2 linked regions of the Xenopus tropicalis genome follow. The protein of the gene in region 2 binds, or shares a complex with, the protein of the main gene of each other region. Links are inferred from orthologs where the notes say so. Each region holds a gene or a part of one and is shown on either strand. Other genes may lie near its edges.

The links.
Region 1: exosc8 (region 2) and exosc1 share a complex: the UniProt entries of both Homo sapiens proteins name them as parts of the RNA exosome core complex. The link is inferred for Xenopus tropicalis from reciprocal best matches to the Homo sapiens genes EXOSC8 and EXOSC1.

Annotation. Positions count from the first base shown.
Region 1 is NC_030683.2:32,983,274-32,992,571, reverse strand, and holds exosc1 (exosome complex component CSL4), read right to left. Parts: upstream 6,036-9,298; 5' UTR 6,019-6,035; coding exon 5,991-6,018; intron 5,451-5,990; coding exon 5,335-5,450; intron 4,966-5,334; coding exon 4,891-4,965; intron 4,246-4,890; coding exon 4,157-4,245; intron 3,524-4,156; coding exon 3,490-3,523; intron 3,042-3,489; coding exon 2,991-3,041; intron 2,323-2,990; coding exon 2,238-2,322; intron 1,998-2,237; coding exon 1,891-1,997; coding exon of another isoform or gene 1,818-1,890; 3' UTR 1,389-1,817; downstream 1-1,388. UniProt on the Homo sapiens protein: Non-catalytic component of the RNA exosome complex which has 3'->5' exoribonuclease activity and participates in a multitude of cellular RNA processing and degradation events.
Region 2 is NC_030678.2:151,673,125-151,681,909, forward strand, and holds the end of exosc8 (exosome complex component RRP43), read right to left. Parts: coding exon 8,766-8,785; intron 8,048-8,765; coding exon 8,002-8,047; intron 7,030-8,001; coding exon 6,933-7,029; intron 4,835-6,932; coding exon 4,714-4,834; intron 3,920-4,713; coding exon 3,813-3,919; intron 2,489-3,812; coding exon 2,373-2,488; 3' UTR 2,277-2,372; downstream 1-2,276. Other genes in the region: supt20h (transcription factor SPT20 homolog), read left to right, coding at 1,860-1,991. UniProt on the Homo sapiens protein: Non-catalytic component of the RNA exosome complex which has 3'->5' exoribonuclease activity and participates in a multitude of cellular RNA processing and degradation events.

The sequences.
Region 1 (9,298 bases), on a different chromosome or scaffold from region 2:
TGCACAGTAGAGTTAAAAGCCGACTTCTCTGTTAAAGTTCCACTATTCACTCTACTGCGCATGCGCGCAAAGCAGGAAGCGCTGCAGCTACCCTGGGCTGGTGCTGTTTTCTCTGAACAGGGGCACCAGCCCGGGGTAAAAAGTATGCGATTAAAGTCACTTGGGGGTGCCTAACATTTTGGCACCCCCAAGTGACTTTGCCTTTCCTTCTCCTTTAAAGGCTCTTAAATTAACCTCTTCTCTAGCATGGCTGACAACATCAACAACTGTACTAGCTATGTGCTCAAACTAAGGCCTTTATCCAAGCCTTCCTGCAGAAATTCAGGCATACCTAGGATTGTCGGTTCCAGGCATCTATCTCATTTTTGGAAGCCCAGTCTCTAAATATGTTGAACACCGCATACTATCTCTGAGATGACTTTCTAGATCTCAACAGAGTAGTTATAACAGCCTCAGAACAACCTAGCTGTGCTAACCTTCCCCTCTCAGCCTCAATCCTGATGAATCTGGATGCCACAGACCCTAGTTGAGAATCTATCCATTGCAGAGTAGCCGCCACTTGGTTTTTGTGTTCCTCCAGAACTTCCCTGCTTCTGGCAAGTAGCAAAAGGTCATCTAGATACTGATATTTTTCTACACCCATTTCTCTGAGCATTGCAATAACAACTACTAACCACCTTCATGAATGTCCTGGGGGACGTGGATAACCCGAAAGGTAGGCATGTAAATTGCAGATGCTGGTGACCTATAGCAAACCTGAGGAATTGTTGATGTCCTTGGGCTAACGGTACATTCAAATACACATCCTTCAGGTAAATGGTACACAGGCAGTCCCTGGGTCATATGGCTGCTTTAACAATTTGGATTGTTTCTGTTTTGAAGCTTTGTATGTACAGCTGCAAGGTCTAATATAGGTCTCATCTCGCCCAATAACTTTCTTATTAGAAAAAGAAAAACCCTTCACCTTCTTCTCCTTGCAGCACATGCACTGCTGTCCCTTTGGAAAGTAAGTCTAAGATGTACTGCAGCATTACAATCTAGTCTGACAAGGAAACTGACCAGGGAGTGTTGGCAAACGTACAAGAGAGATTTTTGGCGAAACTCTAATCGTTACTTCTTGCAACTGCACAAACTCAGGCATCCTGTTTATCCTCTGTCCAAACCTAGAACTGGAGGAGTCTTGCCACAACTCTGGGAAGCTGGGCATCTGAATGCGGCTCATAAGTGAAAAAAAAAAGTGTGGGGATCCCTGGTATTTTTGGAGCCAGCAAAATACATTCCCTAATACATTGTTCACATGCATTCTGTCTCTTTTACTCTTACTACAAGAGCTTCACAAGATATACCGTTACAATCTCACTGACCAAAATAGTGGTTCTGTGAATAAATGACAAAAAAAATACATTTTATTCTCATAGAGGAAAATGTACAAAATACAAATAAAACTATTTTAAGAGAAAAAAAAACACATATCTGATCAATTAAACTTTTGGAGCAAAGAAATACTGTTAAAAAGACTGATGCCCATGAGGGGATTAGTCGCCCACAGTTAAATATCAACTACCGCAGGCAACTAATCTCCGTAAAATGACAGTAGCAATGACTTCAGAAAACTGAAGCTACATGTATGCCTTTCCATCGGCGATTTACTTTATTGTCAGTGGAGAGGCATTAGCCTAAATGAAGGGAACCGAGTTACATTTTTGTTGGCTTGTCTTAATTTTAACCACCAAAATTATGGAGGCAACAAGGCACTCAAGGTTGCAAGCACAAACAAATATAAAATCATTGTTTGCCATAATACAAATTAAGATAATTCAGAACTGCCTGGCTACCGAGTGGTTAGATACAACTACAAGGAGCTTAAATGCCTGTGCCACATGTTGTTCTCTATGTCTGCAGAAACTCTGGCTGCACCCGTGCAACTTTCCTCTGTTCTTTAATGTGCGTCTTTGGACACTGCATCTCACACCAGCTGATTGGCACCATAGTAGCTCCTGGGACAAAAACAAGCAGATGCTGATTAGTATGCAAATAGTGTGTTCATAACATATCCACACACATCTGAGTAGTCATTATGGAGGAACAGATATAGTGAGAGTGTGCCAAAGTTTGGAGATCCCTGGAACATACTGCCATTCAAGGCCCAAAAAAAGAAAGTGCTGAAGGGCACAGTAAGAGGAAACTGATGGTCACCCTTTCAGTGATCATCAACAACATCAACACAACATACTTACCTGCTTCACTATGAGCAACTACAACACCCAGCTCATTCTCTGCTGTGCTTAATAGATAATTAGACTGGATGTCACCCAAAGATATCTTATGCAAAAGATCAGGAGATAAAACTTTTTTAAAAAAAGAAATCAATTCAATACTCAAAATATACTGCAGGCAACACCAATTGGTAAACTACACCTCTGAACAATATACACTATATGGCCAAAAGTATCCGGGCACCTGCTATAACTCGGCTACTCTTTCTGAAAGGCTTTTCAATAGAAGCTGGAACATTGTTGGGTGGGATTATGGAACAATAACAGCCCTATGCACAAAGTTAGGTCCCTGCAGAATGGGTTTGCCGAGATAGGAGAGGAAGAACTTGAATGGGCTGCACCGAGTCCTGACCTCAACCAGACAGAACAACTGTGGGACAAACTGGACTGCAAGCCAGATCCAATCCCCAACATCAGTGCCCAACCTTGCTAATGCTCTTGTGGCTCAATGGAAGCAAATCCCACCAATAATGTTCTCGAAACTAGTGATTTTTTTTGAAGAGAGGCAGGTGTTTGGGTAGTTTTGGGAATATAGTGCAGCAGAATTTCAAAAGACAAATCATAATGATAATAATGGCATGAACAGATGTAAAAGTTAAGAATAAATCAAATAGTATATTTATTATGTTTGCGAAGAAGATAATATGTGAATACCTGGTAAATACTAATTACAGGCAATATATGTTTAATTGATTTGAACAGCTAAAAGGATACCACTTTGGCCATTACGATATCTCCTGGACGGAAGCTTTTATAGACTTCAACCTTTAAAGACAGAATATATTAAAAATATAGAAGGCCATGCACCTTTGATTTGTGATATTTTCTTTAAATCGCTGAAATATTACACCTATTTGGAATAAGAGCATTTGGGATTAAGGGAGAAGGAAAGAGGGGTGCTTAATATTTAGGCACCCCCAGTGATCAGTCTGGGGTACTTTCTGTGAGAGCACCGCATCCCAATCATCTTCATTCTTCAGTGGCCCCAAGTTGGGGCGTGCGCAGTAGAGAGGAAAAGCTGGCATTTTTCACACTGCTGTGCATGCATATCCACCGTGAAGAAGGAAGAACCAGCAAACTGTTCTCTGGGCCAGTGTAGTTTTTTGCTAACAGGAGCACAATCTGGGGTATGCAGTAAGTGATTACAATCTCGGAGAGGGTGCCTAACATTTTTTTTTTTTACTCACAAAAACAAACAAGCGGGTCCAGTTACCTTGTCTTTTTCTGTAGCACGAATGTCTTCTTTCCTAGAAGCCAAAAAGCAACTATTTATACATAAGGCAATAATGTTAGATGCCCAGCTCTGGCTCTTAATCATATAATTTCTAAAAACACTGTGTAACACCTTAAAATGTACTTTTAAGCAATTCATACACAGGCAAACAGATTCAATAGCTTTTTTTGGATTTTTAATTTATTCTTAAATTTTTTGTTCTGCTGCTCTGAGGGTTGGAATTTAAATTCTCACTGCCAGGGGTTAATTATCCTAAAAACCAATGCGCAATCTTTACATGAAAGATGAAGAACAGCGGGCCCTGAAAAGAAATATAACCACTATCCATAACTGTCAAGCCCTGCAGTAAATATTTTGTTTTGCTGCTGGGGTCAGTGTCCTCAAATCCCCAGCCCGCATTTTCAGCTGCATGTATAAAGGAATCCATCTCCTGGTTCTCGTGACTTTTACTAATCTTCTGCAATACACAAGCCCAATCTTGCTTTATGGCATAAAAATTAAATTGCAAAAGGGGTTATGCGATTTTTTTTGAGCAAATGTCAGAACACATCTTCAACACCCAGAAATGCCAGTACATGGGCTCCCTCTATACTGCAGAAGGTTTACTTTAAATAAGAAGGGTCTAGCCTCAGAGTAAATCCTTTACCTGATTGTGCCTCGAAATGTGTTACTCAGTGGAGTTGAACCAATATACATAATTTGGACCTTTGCAAACCTGGAGTTAATGCTTGTTACCTAATTATGAATGGAAATAAAGACTAAATTAGAAACTCCATAATAATAAATGAAGTTTATTATAAGAATGAAAAATTAAAAAGTAAATGAAAAAAAGTTCACATTTCAAATTGACAAATACTGTGTTATAAAACATAGTGGAGCTTAAAAAAATAAATACCAGTTACAGATTGCCTCAAAGTATTGGTTCATTTAAAGTGAATATTACAATCTATAAAAGCTGATGTACAGATGGCACTCTCTTAGTTTTCCCACAATCATTATCATCTCCTTCCAAAGTGCTCCTTTTAAGCTTGTAAGTACCTCGTATCTCACAATAACCCATCATTTGGCTGGGACATGTTAATGTCATTGAGCCCTTTACACAGCTCCTTACCAGTCCTCTTGTACCTAAGCCAGCTTTTATGCTGAAAGGTCACCAAAAAGAGGATTTTTGCCTGATCATAAAAACTATATACATGGGTGGGATCAATGTTGGCTTCTACTCCTACTAACTGCTTTGTATAGCTGAGAAACAAATGACTGCCCTAAACCCAGCCCCCCCCCCCCCCCCCCCAAAAAAAAAAAAAAAAGATACATTTTACCACCTGTTATAACACAACACCACTACAGAATTCTACTTTGGTGTGCAAAATACATTCTTACCTTACAAGTGACAACAGAGCCAACATCTGGCAGAAGATGTGAATCAGTCTCTCTTACCACAGAAATAACTGGCATCTAGAAACCAAAAAAGTGCAGGTAAGGAAATAAAAATTTTAAATAAAAACTATATTATACTGGGGACAGTCTGCACAGGAGCAGCAAATTATTGTACTTTCAGAAATAGTTTAAAGATGAGCTTCAACATTACTTCAGGGCTGCATGTATGGGTGGGATCAATAGTATTGTCTAGGTGGCAAGACCCAACTGCCTGCTGGCACATATTCAACAATGTAAGACTGAGCTGGCTGCAAACTCCCAGTGACTGCTTTGTATAGTTGGGAAACAAATGACTGCCCTAAAATCCTCCCGAAAACATAAATGTTACCACTCGTGTATCGTATCTCAGCTATGTATAATAACAACCTACTACAGAAAACTACTTACCAAGCCATTGTCAGTTTTCTTCACTATGTAACCTGCCAGGGAGGCAAAAATATAGCCATGTCTGCAGAAAGTTCCATATCCAGGGGCACAGTCTTCAGTGCTGCACAGCCTTTCACCTGCAGAGGTTAAAAGAAAGATAACACAATAATACAACTCTGCACAGGGTATATAAAAAACAACCAACTTTTAAAAGTAAAAATAATATATTACTTCAGAGATTAGAACTTGAACTCAGAATTCCCAGAATGAAGCCTGACAGGAGAGCTGAAATTATATATATATATAGATTGTAAGCTCTACGGGGCAGGGACCTCCATCCTCTTGTGTCTTTGACTCTTAACTTATTGCAACTGTAACTGTATCTTGTATTTATTTGTATTTATTGTTATACTTTGTATTCATCTATTATCTTATTAACCCCCTGTTTGTATTAATCTATTCTACTGTACAGCGCTGCGTACATAAGTAGCGCTTTATAAATAAAGATATACATACATTTACTACAACACGAGCAGGAGAAATGTTTCCACAATTTCTTTTTACGGCATCCCTACTGTTATTACATCTCAGTCACTAACCCACAGCACTCCTACCCAACCCAGTCCTTCCTTACCAGGCACCGACACTAACTAAACACTGTGCCCTGCTTCACTCACCCGGCACACAGCACCTTACAGGAGCCATGATAAACACGTGATAACCAATACTGGGCAATGAAGGCTCCGATTGGGTACATCCCGGTTAGTGACGTAACATATCCTGCCATTGGCTCTTCAGCCGTCGCAGCGTGATGACGTACCACGTAGCAATTGTACAATTTGAGGCTGGAGTTCTGGCAGCCTTTACTTTATCTTAAAAAAACAGTGTTATGTTAGTATTAGTCTGTGTTCTAGAAATCGATTTTCATTTCTAAAAAAATATGGTTTTACATATCACAACCTGGCCAGATATGTGTTCCTATAGCAACAGAATGTCATTTACACTGCTTTTCCTGTGACTGTAATAGTTATTAGAAAACGTTCTCTTCACTATGACGTTGCATGGAAACCATAGCGAGGCAGGCTCTCTCAGCGTGAGGCTTCTGTACAGTGGTGCTTCCATCGAAAATCGATAGGTATATATATTTTCCTTAATAACGCAGAAAGAATACCGGACGAGGGGGTTACGGAATAAGACGCTATTCTTGGGATGTACGTTTCTCCCTTTTTGACCTCGTAACCTATAGGGGATAATCAGAACTTACAAAATGGTGTAATTATTCTCAGGGACAGGAGGCACACAGACAGCAATAAGCTCTTGCCTCGTACACCTACTGTAAGAAGAAAATATTTGAATATTTGAGATATATATATATATATACATGTGTGTATATACACCTTGCTTTATAATTGAACTTTTATCTTCTGTCAGTAACTAGGCCAGTAACTAACAACACTGCCAAGATGAATAATTCCTAGCCCTAATATACTTATTTAAAATTGACACAATTCACTAGTTTCCAACACAGTTGTCACCTGGGCATACAGTAAAATGCTTTTTAATTGTGTACCATTCATAGGGTCTAATAAACTAGTGGCAAGGGGGTTGTGCAGTTACTGTGTGGCCAGCGCAGATACAGTGCTGTACTGCCCCTTATGCACTAAAGCAGGTGCCACTGGAAAATAAGCATACAGCATGGGCATAGGCAGGCACAAGTACACATTGCATATAGCATTTAACAGCATCTTTTGTTAGTGCCTAGAAATTGTAATTGAGACCTTTACATAGTAGATGTGGTTGAAAAAGGACACACCCTTCAAGTTCAACGTTTTCTCTAAGAGAAACACCACTAATATCTAGTTAATCTGGAGCAATACAGATATCAGAAGGCATCTCCCATAAGCCTTAAAGGGAGTGAAGTAATTACTCCAACAATCCCTGGATCAACTTTTTGCTAAGAATTAAAAAAGTTTATTAACATATACCAACTCTTCTGGAACTAAGGAAAATGCTTGACAGAAAAGGGTATAAGGATACTATTGTTTAATAAACAGTGGCAGTCTCCAGCAGGAAGGGCAGGCACGGTATTGGCCTTTATTATTGTGAGTAAGCCATAGAGGTGCAAGGAAGCCCCTGTACTTTACACTCTCCTTTGCACTGTTCATTTAATGTATTTTATGAACAAAAACTATAGCACACACACATACCTTTACTTCCTTTCCAGAATGTCACAAGTGCAAATTGTGCAAGAATTACCATAGTTTGCACCTAGAGGTTGAAGAAGTCACCTTTTTTGGCTTCGGCAGTGTTAGGAAATGAGGTCTGTTTTTGACAAGAACCTATTTTTTTATTTTTAGCTACAAAACACGCCTGCCCTATTTTATTTGTATGCTGTATATGCTTCGGCATCTATTGTTACAACAGAAACTCTCCCGAGTGTTATTTGAGGATTTTTTTTTCAACTTGAGATTTTCATACAAAAAAGAGGAAAAGGAAAGAAAGGGAGACAATAAGAGACAGGAGAGAGGTAAGTATCGGAGAGATCATGGTGGAGTGGGGGTATATAGTCCAAGATCATTCGCTACTAAACCTGGGTGAATCTTTTCCTGACGTTATCCTGTGGTGGTGGAGTTAGGTGTTTGTTGGTTGACTGCCGGGTGCATTTTCTAGCTTTATGTGGCTGCTGTTAGTTTTTGAGAAATTTGGTTTTCCATGCTTGGTGGGAAAGTATTTCTCTGTTGCGTGTTTTTCGTACGTAAGGTTAGAGTCTGTGAGGTTGATCAGTTTTTCCTTAGTTGGTATGGTTTTCCATTGTCGTGGTATTAATAGCCTGGCCAAAATGATAATGGGGTAGGTAAGTTTCCTTAGGTTTGGAGGTATATTTTGTAGTCGATGGTTAAGTAGTGCTAGTGAGGCAGTTAGTGGGATTAGTATATTTGTTGTTTCATACAATAGTAGTGAGACATCTGCACAGAAGGGGGCAAGTGCTGGGCATTCCCACCACATGTGGATTAGTGTTCCTGTTGTTTTGTTGCACCTCCAGCAGGTGGACGAGGTGTTTGGATATATCTGATTGAGGGTGTTTTGTACCCTCTGAATAGAATTTTTCTTTGGTTCTCTATGTGGTTAGTAAATTTGAAATATTTGTAAGCTGCGTTAGCCACTTGAAGCCAATGGGCTGTTGTAAACGTTGTGTTAAGATCGCTTTCCCATTTTAGGATAGGTGCTGGCTTTATTTGAGGATAATTTCAATACTTTCAGCTTGGCTGTTTTTAAAAAGTAGAGTAGATTAATGCTACTAAATATCACATAGGGTGAAACAACAGCACATATGCTGGGGTACCTGCAGTATTCCCAGTTGTATTATGTGAGCATTATTAGTGCCAAAAGCATGACAAGAAAATGTAAAGCCTTGTCCTGAAGATTACACATCCAGTGATTCAAGATGTTTCACTATACCTAGAATTAACTGATTTCTTTACATATTGTTGACATTTCCTTCCATCAGTGTCTCTCCCATGAATAAATAAATGAGAAGTTCAGGGCCTAGGACGGAATGGTAATACAACTGTATACAGATGATTCATTATGTGTCAGTGCCTTCCAGACTGTGATAGAAATGAGCTTATTTGAGCTTCACATGAATGCAAGAGCTCACACTAATAGGCTTATTTATCAGTTTGAGAATTCAAAATTGTTTTTCTAATTCAAATAAACTAACATTTTTAATGTATGCTTATTTATTAATAAGGAAATGAAAAAACTTCAATCTCTAGAATTTGTGCAATTACAAAAAAAAAAAAAGAATTTGAAAATCTCAAATTGAAAATATGGCTCGACTTTGCCTAGGACAACTCCGATCACATTCCCCACAAGCATCTGTGCCAGGCCCAAGGTTCTGTTCTCTGCAGCTGGGATCAGCTTTAATGTATTTTTGGCAGTGCCCACCTACCTTCTCTGCAATACCTCCTTAAAGAACAGAATA
Region 2 (8,785 bases):
TATGCAAAAATAATACATACAGTGGTGTTTGAAAGTTTGTGAACCCTTTCAAATTTTCTATATTTTTATATGAATGTGACCTAAAACATCATCTGATATTGAAAGTAGATGAAGAAATCCTAGTTAAACAAATGAAACAAAATGTATTATATTTGGTTGTGTATTTATTGAAAAAATGATCCCATAACAAATCTGTGTGTTGCAAAGGTAAGTGGATCGTTCTCTCTGTATTTGGTGTGACCCCTGTGTTCAGCAACAACTGCACCTAAATGTTTGTGGTAACTGTTGATCAATCCTGCACTTTGACTTGGAGGAATTTGAGTCCATTCCTCTATGAACAGTTTCAGCTCTTGGATGTTGGTGTGTTTCCTTACATGAACTGCTCACTTTAGGTCTTTCCACAACATTTCAATTGGATTATGGTCAGCACTTGGCCATTCTAGAACATTCACTTTATTCCTCTTTAACTATTGTTTGGTAGAACAACTTGTGTGTTTAGGGTCATTGCCTTGCTGCATGATTCACTGTCTCTTCACGGACAGATGTATTGACATTTTCCTTTAGTATTCTCTCATATAGTTAAGAATTCATTGTACCATCCATAATGGCAAGCTGTCCAGGCTCAGAGGCAGCAAGACAGGGCCAAACCAAAACTCTCCCACCACGTTTCGCAGATGGGATAAGTTTCTTATATTTTGTATTTTTGTATTAAGCATTCTTATATATTTTGCTCCTCATTTAATCAAAAAACTTCTATTTTGGCTTCCTTTGTCCACAAAACATTCTTCCAGAATCCTTCTGGTTTGTCCACTTGATCTTTAGCAAACTAGACAGTCAGTAATATTTTGTGGGGAGAGCAGTGGCTTTCTCCTTGCTACGCTGCCATATACACCATTGCTGTTCTGTGTTCTCCAGCTGGTGGACTCATGAACATCAACATTCGCCATTGTAAGACTGGCCTTCAGTTGCTTAGAAGTTACCCTGGGTTCCTTTGTAACCTCTATTAGATGCCTTGCTGTTGGAGTCTTTGATAGTCATCCACTGCTTGGTAGGGTAACAACACACTAGAATTTCTTCCATTTGAACACAGTTTCTTTGACTGCTGATTGTCGAAGTCCAAACGGTTTAGATAGTCTTGTAACCTTTTCCAGCTTTATGGGCATCAACAACTCTCTTTCTAAGGTCCTCAGACACCTTCTTTGTTTGAGCCATGATGCACATCCACAAATGTGTTGTATGTGTGATTTGCTTTGCTGGATCCGCTTTCTTTAAATAAAACAGGGTCTCTCACTCACACCTGATTGTCATCCCATTGACTGCAGAATTTTTTTTTTTTCAATATATGACCAAATATAATAATTTTAGTTTCATTTGTTTACTTTTAGGGCTTGTTTGAAAATTAGATGTTTTAGGTCACATTCATATAAAAATATAGAAAATTTGAAAGGGTTCACAAACTTTAAAAAAAACCACTGTGTGTATATTTGTATATAATATAGTTCAGCCACATCTTTGTCCAGGTCTGGGAATATGGCAACTTTTAGAACCATTGTAGAATAATACCTTCCAAGATCCTTCCCCCCCCCAGTTTTGGGGGACAATGAAGCTGTAAGAGCCTTGCTTTTCCCTGAGAGTGGAAGTTAGCAGTTGAGGTGCTTTGGGGATTCTGGTGCTGCATGATTGCCCAATCAATTCTTGGTCCCCCTTCCTGCATTGGTGTACTGCCTAAATTCCATGCAAACCTGCTTGAGCTACGAGCCTCACTCTCAGTAAGGTGAGCAGTAAAACCCTAGCACGGTGTACAGCTTTAACATATGTTGAAATGGCTTTAACCCTTTGTCTCCACCTTGCATTGACAGTTGCAATTCTTGCATCATCAAATGGCTATGGCAACAGCAGCACAAGCAGCCCAGTTCCCGCCCCTGCCTCATTCCGACAGCCAATCAAGAAGTAAAAGGAGGGGCAGTGCCGGATTTGACGCAAAACCCTGAGCCTTGAACTCCATATCACACCTTTGAGCAGAATTATTAACCGACTATTGCCTTCCAATTACTATTTTTTTAAAACTGTTTTAAATTATTCTTACACGAATACTTGCAAACGAGCTTTGTGAAGAGATGTCTGACTTATATGTGCATTAAAATGGACATACATTATTAGTGGTCTGGGGGCCTTCACAAACCTGGTGGGGGGGGGGGGAAAGATTTTTAACTTGCATCCATGTGAGGAGGAGACTGAGACGCTGCACCCATAGAGACAGAACTGTAGCGAGTAAATGTAGCCATGGTAATGTTTATTTAGTACAAAAGGTGTGCAATCACTGTAACAAATACAACTTTTTACATGGTCATTTTTAAAATGAATATGCCTACTTATTCTGACTTGACACTGGCCAGCGCCTCTTGCAGAAGGTTCGTCACCTCTTTGTGTCTCGTGATGGCTCGACTGATGCACTCCTGGAGCTTCTCTGCTGCAAGGGCACTCCCACCTTTGCGTAAAAAAAAAAAAGTTAATATATTACAGATTAACATGAAAATTCCCCCTTTTTTTAACAAGAATGCATCACTCTTCCCCAAGAGATACACAAACAAAAAAATGGTATTTCTTAAATGTCTGTTTTCACTCAAAAGGTAAGAAACAAAGCTGAAGCACATAGAAATGTAATCTATAGGTCAGGATATGGGTTCCAATGTTTAAGGTGGGCCACGATTACCCCCCCTAATTACAGTCAACTTTCATCTGCAATAGAAAATGGTTAATAAAAAAAAAATGTTACTAAATCAATTTTTGGGACACACAGTTCATCCCTCAAATTTGTGCCCCTTAACAAAACACCCCGGCACCTAGTGAGCAGCCTGATCAAGAAGCTTTACCAAGGGAGAATTGCTGGCTTATGGCCTAACCACTGACCTTCCTATTCACTGCACTGCAGAATATTTCAGTGGGGCAAGCCACAATGATTCCAGGACTTTATTTTTGGTTACAGTGAAACCACAGAACACACAAGGAGCCTTGTTGCACATCCGATAATCTTAGTTCTAAAAGTGTGGGGAAATTAGTCTTATATTTACATTGGAATTGTTTTTATTTCTTGCACTAAACAGGACAAAGACTAAAAGTAAAAAAAGTCACAATTACTTCCTGGTTCTGAAAAGGTAGTTTTAAAAAGCCTTCTTTCTCCTAAGCTGCAGACTAGATTGGCTTTTAAATAGGAGTATCTCATTATACAGAGGCTTCTCAATAGACTAATGATTTGTTTTGACTGTTTGTACAAAACCAGGAAGGAGAATGTGACTTTCAGGTTCAGATTTTGTTCTGTTTAGAGCATAAATAATAACATAGATATTTCTTAATTGAAACAACAGGTAAAAAGTATATTTAGCACTAACATTGCGCTGATGCTGGAAAATGAGCTGTACTGCCCTTTTATAAATTGCATAGGATTAATTCAGATATTGCCTGAAGGCCAAGCTGGGTGAACACTCTTCATTTAGGTTGCATCTGTGGCAAGCTACACTTACAGAGGAAAGGTTAAAGGTTTAATTATCTACCTATCCCTCAAGATTTTTTTTTTCTTGCTGTACTCCAAGGCATCAGGAAAAATATGACTTGCCCAACAAACCATGGGTGTAGTAACAAAAACAAAACAAACAAACAAACACATTCGCTCTTATTAACAAGCATCTCTCTAAGTTCATACAGGGTTTACAATGTATGTCCTGTTTTACATATGGTTGGGAGAGAACTGTCCCAGTGGCATCAGCTGGTTATAAAGCAAAGCAGCCATTGTTCTTCATCGCCTGTAGATGTACCTGGTTTTCGAGTGGCACATAACCTTTCATCTTCATCAGTCACAACAGTGAGTAGTCCGCTGGCCAAGCCCTCCTCTTCCCCTGTGGGATCCACCAGAAGGAATGTGCTAGGAAAGAAAATAACACACTTATATGCGTAATCTGGGACAGTGCAATAGGTTTGGTGATGGAGAGTAAGCATTCCTCACACAAGATCAAACCCTCAGCCTCCGACACCTACCTCTGTGATTAATCGGTCACAAGATGGGACCAGCATACTGTATAGGGAGCCATTATTATATTTTATAGAACTATTTTAAAGTAGAGATCCCCATGAGAATACTAATACACTAGTGATTCTGCTTATCACAAGGCCTGTCCGTAATCAGCTCTGAAGCTGAAGGGACTTGCACCTTTAATGATGTTCCCAGAAGTGAAGGTCCCATTGAAGTGTTATTGTTATTACGTTAAAGTGAATGTAGTGTTCACGTATGCCTATCTTGTCTGTATGGACAAAAACATATAACTGTATACAGAGCTTAAACAAAAAAAAAAAAACAGACCTTTATTGACCTGTTGACATCAAACACAAGGCAATCTGTGGTCACCACAGTTAAAACCCATTTATCCAACCTGTGCCCCAATACTGCTCTGCACGCCCTGTCACTCATGATAACAGGCAGGGTTGGTGGCCCCCATGTCAGGCTGCTTGACTTTCTCCCCCAGGCTTTCTGGCGCCAATGGCTGACCAGGCTTCAACTTCCCCAGTGCCCACCCCCAATCCTCTCACAAGCTTCTGAGCTGGTGTCTCCAGTGAAAACTCATATAAAAAAACGGTAGAGGGTCTCATCACTTACTCAGAACATCACTGCCCTATAGCCCCAAGCCTCACTAGCTTTAGCAAAGGACTTCAAATACTTACTCATCAAATACTGCAAATGATGTTGCAACGGGGTGTTTCAGGATTTTCAGAGCATGTTTTGTTTTCAAATTGACTTCTGCTAAACCAGTCTCCTCGTTTATTTTAACAGATGGCAATCTTACTGCAGAGGGAAACCAATAACATTGGCACAGGCACCATTAGATACTAATAATAGTCAATTTTGTGACATTCAAGAGCAACGTGAGTTCATCAACCGCAAATCCTACTGAAATGTCCATAAATATTTCATAATGCCTATAAACAGGCAAATAATAAAATAACTGCTGACTAAGGACAAACTGTTTTATCCTCCAGAATAAATGGAAAGCTTTCTACAGACCATCTTCTGTGTATAGTGCTTAATAACATTCCATGGGGCCCAGAAGGGACAGGCAGCTCCAATTGTGGGCCTTCGTTGCACAACTGCTGGAATGTATATTCTACCAACAGAACATGTTTGTTCCTAGGTAGGGTGCCTTAAATGAGGCCCAAGCAGAGGCTCCACACAGGGACCTGCAGGGTGGCAGTTGCAAGCAGTGCATAAGAAGAGAAACCCTCGTTTTGCTGTAAATATTTGTATTGACTGCAGCAGTGGGAGAGTATCATAAGGCAAAATACACATTATATTGGCATGGGCTCCAACAACCACTTTTAGCATCCACCAGTAGGCCAAAAGCTGTCATGGGTTGCTTGGGATTATAGTGCAGTGACACCTTGGGAGCTGCAGATTGCATTATAAAGAATGGGATCCTGAACAGCTAGAGCTTGAGACATCCCAGAGACATAAATCGATAGTGGTGGAATTCCACTCTGTGATGCTACAGACTGTGGCGAGTTCAAGCTTCGCTGTTTGATCATTTTGCCTCATGTTTTTTTCCCTATCCACTCCCACCAGAATGGCCTGGTCTAGGAAAGGACACTTTTGATTTCACTTTAGGATGTGCCCTTACATTAATGTGCAATATTTAGCACCACAACATATGTAGCTTGTAGTAAATACACAGTTCACCACATTAAAGGAGAACTAACTTTTATCTAAAGGAGGAAGGGAGAAACATTGTATATTATATTTTGTATGAGCCAAAGACAGCCACAGCCCTTTAGCAGGGAAGATCTGTGCCCCCAGTAGCCCCCATCTTCTTTTCTGCTGATTCCCAGCACATGCTCTGTGCTGCTGTCACTTACCTGAGCTTAGGGACCCACTCACACTATACTGTATATATAGAATATAAACTGCGGCTGAACTATAAAGGAAGCAGACCTCAAGGGGGACATGACCACAGGGTTTGCTTTGTCTGTAGCCTAGAGATCCCACCCCCAGCCACTCATTTAAATATTTATGCAGGACCACAAGAGCATGCCGGGCCCCCGCCCCCCCACATTTTTTTTCTTTTGAGAAGGGGGGCCACTGCTGAATATAAGTATAACAATATAAGACTGATTAGTATACAATAAAAATTATTAGTATGTCATCTCAGAAACTAGTGCAATTACCATCAGCTTATATTACAGACAAACCTCATTTTCTGCTTGATAATTTAGCTGCTCAGAGCACACTGAGCATGTGCAGTGTCACTGACACTTCTAACAAAATCAAAGATGTAGGAGCTTCTGTGCATAACTTTAAAGGGATCATTATAGAGATGCTGAACCTTTAGGCTGGTGCAATAAGTTCAATACATATAATTTGGCATTTCTAGCTATATTCATTTTTATGGTTTAGTTCTACTTTAAAGGTAAACTAAAGCTTAACATAGAAGTAGGGTAAAAATGTTGTACATTATGTTTGGGGGTTTGTACCAGCCCAAGGCAACCCCAGCCCTTTAGCAGGGAAGATCTGTGTCTCATAAAATGCCATTTTTTTTTCTGCTGATACACTGAACATGTAACTTCCTTATAATTTAATAATCAGCCCTGTAGCACCAGGTTATATGACAGACAAACCTTATAATTTGCAACAACCGCTAACTGGAAAAGTTCAATAGGGAGGTTTTGGACAGCCAGACCTAGATAATGGAATGGATTGCATAAGCAATGCAAAAACGTCAAACTGAGCCAGTCTGCTCTGGGGGTATATTTGGTATTAACATGAATCTCAGACATAATAATAAACAAGTGATTCCCACTGAGGTTTAGTGGCAACAGGACTTGCAACAGCTGTACAGCACTTCATTCTTACCCTGTACCCTCAAAGACTGTTTCACTGAACAATGACTTACCATTCTGTAAAGCAGCAACCAAAGCACACATGCAAGTATCAAGAAGGTTTCCATCGTAATCGAGACATATGAGATCACAGTACAGAACCCATGCTAGCTAGAGAGGGGAAAGAACAAAAATAAGTCAAAGGGGAACTATACATTTAATATTAAAGTATAACCAATAGCTCATTTATAGTCCACTAGGTCACCTTTCAAAAAATTAAACTAAATTGGCATATACATATCAGTATATAATGCCCTTTATAAATTTTACCTTACATGTAAACCCTACATTTTCCTACCATGTATATAAGTTGGACACAACTCCCCCACCCACACCGCATCATTTGTATTACATATATCCCTCTGTTTGCCAGCACCATCAATTTTCCTAAAACAAATAGCAGCTTTCACCCAGCTGCAATTTTCCCTCTGGCAAATCATCAGTGACATTTATATCTGTAAACAGCATGTGTGCTGCAAAGTTCATAAAATCAAAAATGCAGGCTTACACAGGCAGAACTTAAAAAACAATTCTGCGTGTTTCTCCAGCAGAATGTACAGCTAGAGCAGAGTTTCTATGGAAACTGGTGAGTGCAGGGCCCCCGCTGGCCACATCTCCTGCCACGCACCCTAACCCCCCCCCCCCCCCCGCCGCAGGGGCCCCTAACGTCCTCCCCTGAGCATGCCTAAGTGAAATGCGTCAGTGGTTTTTTCCCGGTGTCCCGGCTGCCCAGTCCAACCCTGATTAAGATTAGGACTGTACCAAATCCACAATTTCTGGATTTCGACAAATACCGCATTCTCCAAACAAGAATCAGCTGAATACCAAACCAAATCCATCTAATTTGCCTATGCGTATTTAAGAAAAATAACAACAGTGCATTAATTGTGACTTTCTCTAAGTGTTTCGGAACAGCTGAACACCTAGAATTTGGCTGAATCCAAATCCTGCATCCTGATTTGGGGCATCCATTCCCATACAGATATGTAATAATGCAATGGCCGTTTGCCCCTGCAAGCATCACCAAAATACATTCAATAACTATTAAAAACCAAACGCCTGTTTGTATCACTTGATCCATACCTTGCCATGTGCGATGCACAAGTCTTCTTTCAGGAGCATCTGGGAACTGAACACATGTTAAAGATTACATGGACAATTGTTTCATCTCTTGTTTTTCCTGTTTCAGTATTGCTTGTATTAATAATGAAAACCAGCTACAACAGGCAATATACACTCAATACTCTTGTTTGGTGGGTCACCAAATGAACAAATCTTTGGCCAATTGGCCACCCAAGTGGTAAATAAAAAGAGGGGTGATCTAGCCATGTGGCCCTTGCAGAGCCTTTTTCCACAGGTTTTCTCTGGTGCCTGTGATTCATGTCGGAGACTTTCCTTATTGATATATCTACCATAAGTCACGAATAAGTCAGGCTACAACCTGACGTGGGAAAAGTTTATATCTTCAGTAAGACTAATTATGACACATCCTATAATACTGATACTGACAAATTTCAATTATACAATTGAGTTAGTAAAATAAGAACCCCCAACAAAAGCAATTGTGGGCTCTTATACCCCTATACCCTCATTGTTTAGGTTTAGATCCATAGGTCACACTGGGCTGGGGGCAGCCCAATTATCTGACAGAGTACAATTTAAATCTGTACCCCACCCAGTTGGGGCACTGTGCTGCCCTTAGCCCAGTATGACTGAGGATGACAGTCTGCACAGAAGATGCCAAAGTGGTTATTGCAGGGCTGGGGGTTACTAATGGTTTTTTATATTATTATTTAGTGACACAGGAACATGATCATCACTTTGTTCACAAACAACCATCATCTTACTTGTCAATAACATCTGCTAT